Zea mays: one gene and its partners. The protein of the gene in region 3 binds, or shares a complex with, the protein of the main gene of each other region. Links are inferred from orthologs where the notes say so. Each region holds a gene or a part of one and is shown on either strand. Other genes may lie near its edges.

Region 1 (3,749 bases), on a different chromosome or scaffold from region 3:
TGCCTCTCCAATGTATCCTGGTCTTCATACATTTCAGGACAAGTTGTCAGCTTCCTAATAGCAGCAGCCACAATAGCATCCCCTGAACCTGTTCGGTCAGTGGTGTATGGAGTTATGAGTGCATCCTCTGTCCCAACCACACAGCCATGAAACTTAGGTGTGTAATAGTGGATCCGAAGTGTCCCATACGTCACAAGCAAGATCTTTATACCGTCATGCCAAATAGGAGCGATCTCTTCAGGGCTGTAGTGGTAGTACTGTGGCCAGTTTCTTGTAAAATGAAATCCTTCAAGATAATACTGAGGAGGGGTGTTTCTCTTGTATTCATAGTACTCATGATCTAGGAGGAATTCCAGCTCATCCCTTGACACCTCTATGATTTCAGCCTCTTTCCACGCCCTGTTTATCACCTCCTTTGTTTTATCCTTGGAAGTCCACAATGGCAATGGCAAATTGAGATCGAAGAAAACTTTGCTTCCAAATTTCTTGGACAGCTCAATGGCTCTGAAGAGCGTGTCATGCATTGAGGGGTTTAGCAGGACTTCTGAATTGAAATGGAACATTCTAGCCTGTGTAATTGCCACAGATTAGATCTGAATAAAGAAAAAAATGTTTTGCAATGTAATAGCAATGACTACATCTAACTCATCAAAATGTCTCCTCTAAAAATCTTGTCGCCGGCATGTGAACCTGAACAGTGCAATTATGCTAAACATTTTATCTGCAAAGTTATTAATTCTGACGGCATCATTCACATGCTTACTTGAAACAGTTTGGAAGATGATATCATCGTGATCGTGAAAGCTATAGTGGTTTAAACATAATATTAAAGCTGTGGAGAAATAAACCTCAGAGACAAATTTATTATGAAGAAAGTTAGTTTCTTCAGAGCTGGAAACTTTAGATAATGCAGTATAACCTCTGATTTTCATGGACTGCTATAACAATTTTATCTATTTTCTAAATACAAATACTGATAATTTTTACAGTCCATAATCCGCTGCTATCTTAGATTCCAGAAGACTGATTCAGATGTCAACTCATCTCTTAAACTGCACTATGAGATCAAGTGCCATAGCTATGCTGGTGCTGCTAGATCAAACCAATTTTATATTTCAGCAAGGAATTCATTTGATGCAATTGTTCTGCAAAAGTGCACCGTGTTGTTATGCACATAAAGACATAGCTTGCCGTGAAATGACTACTCGAGCATAAATCTTGAACCGGAAATTCGGAATCCAACGTTTACCCAAGGAATTGCCAACTCACCTCTTTCAACACGTCTACATTGATCTCAGTCCTGCGGAGGGAGTCCTCGGCGGCACTCTTCACCGTCTCGGCTACAAGTTTCGTCCCGCCCTTGCCGTCCTCCCGGTCCCGGAAGCTCACCTTCATGCGCGCCGTGGCGGTGACCGCTTTGTCGTCGAACTTTATGGCACGTGTCTGCACCCGCTCGCAGTTCATGCGGTACACAAGCTCGCGGCCGAAGTCGTCGTCGCCGACCTTGCCCAGCACTGCGGCGCGCCCGCCGAGCCGGGTGAGCGCAATCGCCACGTTGCTCGCCGCGCTCCCCGGCGCGCGCGCGAACTCGGGCGGTTCCCATTGCAGGTGCCTCCACGTGGAGTACATGTCGGGATGCATCTGGCGGTCCGACACCCGCACCGTGGGTACGAACTCCCACCGCGGCGCGCCGAAGCAGCACACCAGCGGCGGCCACTCGTTCGCGAAATCGTCGTCGTCGCTACCCACTTCCACCGCATCCTCCTCTTCGTTGGCCTTTTGAATCGTATCCCCCGTCCCGTGATTCGCCGCCTGGGCCACCTCCTCCTGTTTAGCCTCTCCCTTGGACTTCCTCGTCCGGCGGTTGGTCCGCTTCACCGGCTCCTCCTCGCCCTCCGAGTCGGGATCCCGGTCCGCCTTCTTGGTTCTCCTCCTCGTAGCCCTCGGCTTCGGCGCCGACGGGGACGGTGACTTTTTGCGGCCGCGGCGCGAGGCAGGTTCAGGGAATTCCGGCACGGCGGCGCCGTTGGGCGAGCAGCGGAGGGAGAGGCCGCGTGGGAAGCTGGAGTGGAGGGACGCGGCGAGGAGAGTGGGCTTGGGGAACAGTGATGGCAGGAGGAAAGCGGGGGCGGCCATGGCCATTGTCGCTCCTCTTTGCTCGAGGTGAGGGGCGCGGCGACGAGCGCAGCGAGCGCTGGACTCGACTCTATCCACTATCCAGGAGAGTGTCAATGTGATCCGATAAGGGTTTTAGCAACCGTTAAGGATGTCGGGTTTGCGCCCGCAAAAGGAAAATTGTCCAAATGGAACATCCCGGATCCCGATCTACAACATGCAAGTATGTATTGTATCGACGACCCTAAAACATCCTTAAAAACATCCGTAACTATAAACAGGTGCTCATACACACGAACATGAATCACGATCTCAAAGGAGGTCTATCCCTAACCGACGGCGTGAATAAGACATGTTAGATAAGATGTCAGATATATTTCGGACTATCGATTTATTGTATACACGTGTTACAGTCACACATCATGAAATGTATAGCAATCGAACAAGTGATATACATATAGTCATGTAATCTATAACAAAAAGTTTAAATAAAATAGCATATTGTTATATTGGTACTACACATGATAACTAACAAATTTTGTCAACAACAACGATTAGTACAAGATGTACCAAAACAAGACGGGGCAATGTACAATACGATCTATTAGAGATCATATCAGGGCAGTATTACTTTGGAAAAATACTCTAAAAACGGGTGGCGACGCACCAAGGATGAGGAACACATGTTGTTTAGAACGTATGTCTTTCTTACATTTTATAGTCCAACGGTAGGCACTCTAACTACTCTATTTAATTGATACTAATATACAAATTCAGGACCTATTAGGTCATTTGGACACCCCGGAACAATCGGCTTCTAGATAATCTGAGGAGTCCATTAGCCATTTTTCCTGTTGCACCAATTCGAAGTAGGATTTGGTGGCCAGGAGTGAAACGAGTAAGAAGTGCAATATAAAGTGGAGTGGTAAGAGCAATTTGGAGAGTGAGAGATGTGAATGCAATTAACACTTTGTCTCTATTCGTCTGTTTCCATTTTTTATTTTCTAAATTCAAAATAACACAAACCAATCAGAAACTGCCATATAGCAACAGGTGGCCAGTACCAGTCAGTCAAGATCGGCAACGTCCATGTCTCAAACGCACGGATCTATATTAACTGACGGTCAATCTGGTTCTAACGCGGTCGATACTGATTGAATTGGCCGGTTTGTAGCCCCACCGAATGATCGACTGATTCAATTATGGGGTGTTTGGTTTGAGAAATGAGCTAGTCCATCATCTTCTAACTCCTCACTATTTTTGTTTGGTTTGTGGAATAGAATGCGTTGATCCATCAACATCTCATTTCTTATAGTTAGTTAGTTAGTACTAATATGAGTAATAGAGTCATCCCACCAACTCTGAGGAATGAACCCATGATGCACCACTTTAATTTGGATAGAGTGATTCCTCAAACCAAACACTCTATTAGTATTGGAGCTCGCTGGTCGATACCAACCACCCATCCATCGTGTAGGTGCATCGTACCGTGGGGAAGGAGAAGACGTTGGTACTGACTGTGACTCGGACGACATCATCGGTGCGCTTCGCTCAGCTCTGGGCATGCTTCACTGTCGCACTGTGCATTGGTCAATCGGAGTCGCCGCCGACATCGAGGGGGGTGCAAATCGAGT
Region 2 (3,749 bases), about 31 Mb from region 3:
TCTTATTCACTAACAAGAGATAGTTTATTTGAAAAATGAAATAGCAATATCATACTAATGGACAAGTGCAAAAGTCTCTGAAAGAGAGAAAAAAACAAGGGCAAAAGCTTAAGGCTTTGGTTCAAAAAAACATCCCCATCTTTTATTTGCTTCAACAATGCATCACAAACCTTTGTATATCAACATCAAATCTACCATTGCATGTGGGATTGACACACTCACACACATCCCACCTTGAAATCCTTTTTCCTGGATGGTTCAAGTAACATACTAGTACATGTGAAGCAATAATGCTCCCTTGACAATTCTCCCTTCTGATGGATGACACACCAGAAAGAAGCTGAGGGTTCTGTTAAGAATATTTAGAAGGGTCAACAATATTCTCAACGAAGGAATCTCTGCCAGTTCCATTAAGCCATAAAATTGAGTTAAATCTTCCCTTCAAGCTTAGTGTGATGTTCTTGTTTAGCTCTGCTTGATTCCTTTTTTCCTGTACAGTTTTTTTTGGGTTCTTATTCTTCTCTGTTAATAGAAGAGATCTCCAACTGTTCTGTTCAAAAAGTTCTCTGCCAGTTCCATGTAAGACACTTGAGTATTGCTCAGAGGCTATATAAACCCAGATTGTAGCCTATGCAATGTGAATAGATCCCCTGCCATGTACACACAATGTGAGAAACAGAGGTTAAGGCACCTGCGAGATACATCATTCACTATATATGCTCCTCGATTTACAGTTTCACCTGCACTTCTGCATATAATTGTATTCATGGATAAGCTTCTTTCTATCTCAAGTATCTTTAACGACTGCACCCAGCACAGGAATCAACCTTTGAAGCTCTTCCTCCTCTGAGAGCCTTGTTGCAAAATGGCACGTGGATCGAGTGCCAATGCCAACTGTATCTGCATGTTCAGATGTTAGCAATTTGACCTCAGAAAAACAGCATCCACTCAAGAATTTCCACCTGTCACTAAAGATATCTGGCTTCAGATTATGTCTATGAGGCCATGACCCACAGGCAACACTATTATTAGGCCTTCTTTTATGATCAAACAAAGGCTCTCCATGAAGGTTCTTCCACAGTTTAAAGTGCACATTTCAGCATATTGAGAGAATGCCAACTTTGCATTGATCCAAGGATCAAGAGATCCTAGAAGATCCATCAAAAGGAGCTAGAAAAAAAAATGCTCTCTCATATTTCCGTTCGTTTGATGCTTATCATAAAATATCACATCCAGATCAACTGGTCTGGGACTATATCTTCATCAGTTTGGCATAAATCGTAATCATGTCGTCCAAGCTTGGTTGTCCATCTTACAACAGAATATATGAACAGTGGTTGATCAGGTGCTGTACTGATTGTGTATCATCCACGTTGCTCCCTAAAGCAACGACAATCTCTTGCCCTTGGGAGCTTGCAAAGACATAGGATTCCACAGATGAATGGTGCCTCGGGAAATGCACGCCCGCCCTTGTTAAGGACCCAACAAGCTCGGTACTGCCAACATGAGAGGAAAATTAGCAAACTGTTTTATATCAGAATGAGCATTTGAAGCTAAACAATCCTTTGAAACGGAAATCTGAAGTAGAGTAGCTTCATTTCCACATCTGTAGCACTGTGGCAGTAGACATGAGGAGACCAAGAGCAGGGGGGAAGATAGGATTCCAACAGAGCAACAGTGGCCGGTGCTGGAAATTGAAAAGTCGGAGCCGGACAAGTATGGCGGAACCACTGTGACCTCGAGGCGAGAATACGACAGGATTCTTTTCGGTAAACAACAACGACAACAATAACCGCTAAAACTAGTTGGGAAAAATGGTGGCAAGCAGCATAGGAATCAAGGGTTCTACAACAAATGTCAGCATGGATGTGAGAAGATACAACTCGATGCCATTCCATTATACGGGGGAAGAAGAAGAGATCGGTACCTCCCGAGCGAAAAAAATTGGACTGGGGAAGTGCGGAGGAGGCCCGATTTCATTTGATTTGAGGCGGCGCAGGCACAGAGGAGAGCGCTGCGCCATGCGCCGACTGGGGAGGAAAACAACAGGTTACGCGAACAGAATAAGAAAGCGAATTAATGGAATACGCCTTTTCTGGTATGACGTTTCTACCCCTTATCCTCATAACTATGGGCCAAAGTGTAATTTGCTCCGGCCAAATCTCCGTTCCCCTCCTTGTCCCCTGGGGTTTTGCTGTTCCTCGTTGCTGAGCAGTGATTGGAGGGGCTACCGGGATTTTTGCTACTTGCCTCCATTGATGGCTTATCTTCTTCTCCATCCTCAGTTCACTTGCTCCCAGCCCCCTTCTCATCGATTGAGGTAATCTCTCAACATAGTGAATCCGTTGCTGTATATCCCAATTATCAATGCGAGTCCGCGTGAAACATGCCGTTTCCCCCCGTATGGTCGCTGCAGTCTGTGGTGCGATAGAGGAGATTAGGAGCCAGAATTGTGTCTTTGTTCATTCTGGGACTAGAAATGCGGCTCTGTCCTGTGATTCATGGACCTGGATATTGTCTGGTCAAGTCATTTGGATTGTGTTGTGCGCAGGGGTCAAATACATTACAAGACAAACAATATGGGGAAGAACATGGCTAAATCTACAGTGAGTTTGCTTAACCGCAGTGCTAATTTTGCATCAAGGACTTCACAAGATGCCGTGGATGGGTTAAGCGATGAAAGTGACGGTGAAACCTCAACAAAAAAGAAGAGAACCCCAAGACGTGGAAGAAAGAAAGCCACCGTTGAAACATCGAGAGATGTAGGAGAAGAAATCGAAGTCATCACTGAACAAACGGCCGCTGAAGAGACTAAGGAAGTTAAGAGGAGAGGCCGCAAGAAAGGTAAATACCTACATATTGGTTGCATTTTTGCAGCACTTCTGTTTCTATATGCTGCGGTTTTCATAATTTTTCTCGACTGGGAACAGCTTAGCAAGTCACAATTTTTCTCTGTTCTGTCTATTCTGTTACAGCTGCTACTTCTGCAAGCTCAGAAGAGGAGAAGGATAAGGCCAAGGAACCGAAGAAGAGGGGACGTAGAAAAGTTAAGACTGTAGAGGAACCTATTGATAATGCTGGAGAGCATCTGAGCAAAGATTTGATGCTCTATAATGAAAGAGAAGATCAGACTCGTCTACAGAATTCTGCCAGTGTTCTGGAAAGTAAAATAGCGTCAGTGCTACATGAGGATATTGGAGAGGTTGACGATTTAATTCCGCTCGTGTGCTGCTTTGGACCTGCCAAATACTCCTTTATTCCTTCTGGAAGACCAGCAAATAGGTTGATAGACCATGAGATTCATGATAGAATGAAGGACATGTTTTGGTCTCCAGACAAATTTGTGAGGGCACCAGGAGGGTCTTCATCCAATGTTGCTCTAGCTTTAGCAGCGATTGGTGGAAGGGTTGCATTCATGGGAAAATTAGGTGATGATGACTACGGTCAAAGTTTGCTGTATCACTTAAACATCAATGGAGTTCAAACTCGAGCAGTTTATATGGACCCTTCAGCACCAACTGCTGTGTCTTTGATGAAGGTCAGAACCGAAGGAAGTCTGAAGACAAACTGTGTTAAACCTTGTGCTGAGGATTGTTTCCTGCCGTCTGATATCAACCCGGCAGTTCTAAAAGAGGTAAATATCAAACCATCATCAAATTTAAATCCTGTGATATCATATCCTATGTATAATACTTTATGTTTTAGATGCTCTGTGCAACATTTATTTATTAATAATGATATGTGATCCT
Region 3 (3,749 bases):
AACTATAAGGAACGAGGTGATGATGGATCAACTCATTTCATTCCACAAACGAAACAAAAAAGTGAGGAGTGGGAAGATGATGGACTAGCTCATTCCTCAAACCAAACAGCCTATTAGTTTCTTATATCCATTGCACCATTAATTACCTTCCCTTAAACCATCCATGCGAGAATCGAATTGTCTGCTCCCATTCCTTGCAAGCAGAAGTCATCCCATGTTCTCGACAAAATTTAAGCCCAGAATGCCACCTCAAGGACCAAATTGGTTCTATCATAATTTGAGGACCAATCTGAGCCAAAGCCATCTTATCATTCGAGGGATGAAAATGGTCACACAGGCCTAACCGACAACAGCACGACACAACCTAGAGTTTGATGAGAATAAACAACACGATACAGAAACAGCAGAATGGATTTGCACAGATGAAACCTACCATTGGAGCAAAAGAAAACATCAAGCACACAAACTAGCACCTAGCGGTAATGCTTAGCCTCATGACAAAAAATTTTCTGCTACAAAGATAAAACATTGCCTATGTTCCTAATACAGTGATCTATCAGCTGTCATAACTCGTTGTCAATGATGTTTCTGATCATATCCATAGGAATTAGCCCCTCGGTGCGTATGGCATCTTTGTTTTGGTCTGGACTGAAGAAGTAAAGGGTCGGAAGCCCTCTTACCTGAAAGCTTCAGCATTAGTGACTTCAAAAATTGAAGGAAAAAAAAGAACCCTAAATAAGAATGTAATCAACACATTGTTCGCTTCAATGAGTGCCATTTTGGTTGTACCTGCATGTCTTTTGCAAATTCATATTCATCATCTGTGTCCACCTTCACAAACAGGGCATTGTCCTCATACTCAACTGCAAGCTGCAATACATTGAAAGGACTTATTAGAGATACTACATGATGTATCAACATAGAAAGAGCAATTAGATAATCTTCTTGTCCTGAAAAAAGGGAGCACACGTAAGTGCGAACAGCTCCAAGATTCAAGATACCGGCAATAGTTAAACAGAATCTCAAGTGATTGACTATGATTTAATAAAAGCTAGAAATCCAAAAGTGGTTTTCAACAAGATTTTTTCTTCTTGGTCATCTTTTCACATTGTTTTCAAAAGAAACAAAAGAAGAATCACTAATTGCTAAAGATACTAATATTTGCTAGGGGAAGTCTTTTATTATTTTCAGAAAATATTTTTTTTTCATTTCGCATGAAAATTCTAAACTGTCCAAATTCTAAATTCCTCTCGTAGGCCTTGTCAACTTGTCCTATACCAGACTACACCAGCTACCAAGCTGTCTAAATTCCTCTAAAATAATATAGTCTGATATTAATCTAGACTAAATCGCCCAATGAAAGTATTTAAATATACTCAGAAGCTTCACATATTGCTTAATCCAGCAGAACCTATGCAAAGCATAGCTGTGTACTGCATTCCTTTCCATTTCAAAGCATGGTTGCCGCTGAAGGTGTCACTGACGAGGCACATAGAACTCGTTTATACCACTGGTCCCATAACTCCCATTGATTGCAACTTCACAGACAGGCATTGTGTTGGCCAAGATATCAAAAGTCACACAGGCAAACCAAATGATGGAAAACTGGCAGGGAGGGTGGCTCACCATCTCGATGTCCTGCGCCATCTGAACACAGGGCCCGCACCAGGTCGCGTAGAAGTCAACGATGAGCGGCACCTTCCTCTGCCCCCTCACCAGCTCCTGCACCTCCTCGGCTGACACCTTCTTCTGCAACCACGAGTAATGCAAAGCACCGCTCAGACTCGAACTCACCGACTGCCGAGGAGCAGAAAGATTTGCGATCCAGTGAACCGTGCTGCGTACCACGAGGTAGTCCGGCGCTATGTACTTGCCAGAGCCCGGCACGTAGGGAACCACCGTCTCCGTGGAGGCGTTCCGTCGAAGGGTTGGCGCGCGGCGAGTGTTGGCGCCTACGCCAAAGAGGCTGCAGCTGCGGGAGCGGTCCCAGCGCGCAGGGGAGAGCGGAATTGGGAGAAGAAGAGGCCTCGGGATCAGGAAGGGCGCACGGGGAATGGAACCAGCGGCGCACGCCGACAGGAAGGCGGCGGCCGGAGCCATGGCGGAAACGGAGAGGCGCAGTGGAGGGGAGACAAATCCTATCCGGAAGGCTCCGTGGAAATGATAGTACTGTACAGTTCACGCTTTTTTAACACGGGTATCCACATCTTGGTAGTCCGTAGATCTGGGCATTCACCTTAGCCCAAAATTTGGGTCGAGCTTTTCGAGCTTTTTAAATTTCGAATATCTAGAAATGATATCTCAACATAAACTTTATATATTGGGTACTCAAATTTTCGAGTATTCGAATTTTTTGTGTTCAGATTCAGATAGCCCGTTTTACCTAATTTAATATAAATATATAACCAACTAGCACCACAACAGCGCAATAAGTATTTAGTTTAAACTTTCTATATAACAAAAGTGACCAAAATTATCATATTGTTGGGCACCAAATTGAGGTGCGGACAGTCCGGCTCTGAGACCGGACGGTCCGCGGTCCGGACGGTCCGCGCCTGTGGGCCGGACGGTCCGCGCACGCGCAGAATAGATTAGGGTTCCGAGTTTTTCACTGCGTTTGTTGGCGAAAATCGCGGGATTTGCTCGGAGTTTTGTTGGTAACGGGTCCAGCCCCCTCCTCTATAAAAACAGAGGATTACGGCCGATTAATCATCATCAATCGAATCAATACAACTTCTATTCGCATTTATTTCTAGTACAATTAGAAGTAGTTCTAGTTTAGCTTCTCGATCCCTAAATTCTTCGCCTCTCTTCGACTCTACGTCGATTAGAGAAGTCTAGGTCGGCCGGCCCGAGCCTAGACAACTCCTAGGATCTCTTCTCCCCGACGGGGTCCCTCCCAGAAGCGAGATCCAGGCGCCGCCGGCGATCTTCCGCCGCCCCTGCGCACGCGCGGACCGTCCGACCCCAGGGTGCGGACCGTCCGACCGTCAGGCAGGAGACCCTAGCCCCTGCGCCAGGTCGCAGACCGTCTGGCCCTAGGTCGCAGACCGTCCAGCCCTAGGCCGCGGACCGTCCGCACCTGACCAGAGAGCACCGCCGCGCCTCGCACCAGGCCGCGGACCGTCCGTCCCCTGCGCGCGGACCGTCCGCCCCTGTGCAGAGGGCACCGCCACGGTTCTTGTTGAAGTGTTTGGCGCTCCAAAAAGGCGTCAACATACTTTTTGGCGACTCCGCTGGGGAAGACATATTTAGACCTATCAAATCGGCCCTCAATAGCCGGTTCGAGGGATAGTTCTGAAGTCTCTCCAAGCAACATCATAGAGCCGACTTGGGAAACCTTGCCGGCTGACGAACAGCTCCAGTTCGAGGAGCATAAGGAGCAGATGATCCAGGAGGCAAAAGCAAGGTTCTTGGCCAACTTCAAAGTGGACAGGAACAACAAAGTCGTTCGACATCGGGCGACGGATCCGGCTTCACTGTGACCCACGCCAGATATCCCCAATGTAAGTAATACAAACGAACTACAATCTCTTAAGAATTATGTAGATGAACAGCGTGAACAAATGCAAAATATTATAGGCGGTATGCAAAACGACTATAGGAGATTAGCGCGTGCATTTGACAAATCTAGCATTGTAAATTTTCCATCACACGAGGTAGAATTAGGGGGAAACACGCGTAATACATCGGCTATAGGTTGTCACGACCAGTCACAACCCCTTTACGGGATGCCGATGGACACGTAC

The links.
Region 1: the proteins of Thioredoxin-like protein CITRX, chloroplastic (region 3) and Fructokinase-like 1, chloroplastic-like are in contact, whole or in part, in a cryo-EM structure (PDB 8XZV), measured with the Spinacia oleracea proteins. The link is inferred for Zea mays from reciprocal best matches to the Arabidopsis thaliana genes TRX z and FLN1. Residues at the interface, in XP_021862427.2 of Spinacia oleracea: Tyr73, Val75, Lys77, Ile83, Thr84, Val87, Arg88, Tyr100, Ala101, Thr102, Trp103, Cys104, Gly105, Pro106, Cys107, Ile108, Ala111, Gln112, Lys129, Asp131, Thr132, Asp133, Asp134, Tyr136, Phe138, Arg140, Asp141, Met142, Gln143, Val144; in XP_021865197.1 of Spinacia oleracea: Gln111, Lys112, Glu113, Phe114, Val115, Pro116, Ser117, Val118, Arg119, Val120, Ser121, His123, Gln124, Met125, Asp126, Pro127, Asp128, Ile129, Tyr130, Trp133, Met136, Gln137, Pro141, Phe143, Asp175, Phe176, Lys201, Ala203, Cys204, Ser205.
Region 2: the proteins of Thioredoxin-like protein CITRX, chloroplastic (region 3) and fructokinase-like 2, chloroplastic are in contact, whole or in part, in a cryo-EM structure (PDB 8XZV), measured with the Spinacia oleracea proteins. The link is inferred for Zea mays from reciprocal best matches to the Arabidopsis thaliana genes TRX z and FLN2. Residues at the interface, in XP_021862427.2 of Spinacia oleracea: Tyr73, Lys77, Ile83, Thr84, Val87, Arg88, Phe99, Tyr100, Thr102, Trp103, Gly105, Pro106, Ile108, Leu109, Gln112, Asp131, Asp133, Tyr136, Phe138, Ala139, Arg140, Asp141, Met142, Gln143, Val144, Arg145, Gly146, Leu147, Pro148, Tyr151; in XP_021858068.1 of Spinacia oleracea: Gln218, His219, Ala220, Phe221, Val222, Pro223, Ser224, Gly225, Arg226, Pro227, Ala228, Arg230, Leu231, Ile232, His234, Gln235, Ile236, His237, Leu240, Lys241, Ala243, Phe250, Ile251, Asp282, Tyr283, Thr286, Trp308, Ala310, Met311, Ser312.

What each region holds. Positions count from the first base shown.
Region 1 is NC_050098.1:184,110,272-184,114,020, forward strand, and holds the start of Fructokinase-like 1, chloroplastic-like, read right to left. Parts: upstream 2,184-3,749; 5' UTR 2,143-2,183; coding exon 1,270-2,142; intron 570-1,269; coding exon 1-569. UniProt on the Arabidopsis thaliana protein: Required for proper chloroplast development, most likely through regulating plastid-encoded polymerase (PEP) dependent chloroplast transcription.
Region 2 is NC_050096.1:255,229,430-255,233,178, forward strand, and holds the start of fructokinase-like 2, chloroplastic, read left to right. Parts: upstream 1-1,494; 5' UTR 1,495-1,814; coding exon 1,815-2,320; intron 2,321-2,551; coding exon 2,552-2,844; intron 2,845-2,975; coding exon 2,976-3,634; intron 3,635-3,749. UniProt on the Arabidopsis thaliana protein: Required for proper chloroplast development, most likely through regulating plastid-encoded polymerase (PEP) dependent chloroplast transcription.
Region 3 is NC_050096.1:224,701,545-224,705,293, reverse strand, and holds Thioredoxin-like protein CITRX, chloroplastic, read right to left. Parts: upstream 2,176-3,749; 5' UTR 2,101-2,175; coding exon 1,846-2,100; intron 1,750-1,845; coding exon 1,627-1,749; intron 871-1,626; coding exon 790-870; intron 681-789; coding exon 564-680; 3' UTR 131-563; downstream 1-130. UniProt on the Arabidopsis thaliana protein: Thiol-disulfide oxidoreductase that plays a role in proper chloroplast development, most likely through regulating plastid-encoded polymerase (PEP) dependent chloroplast transcription.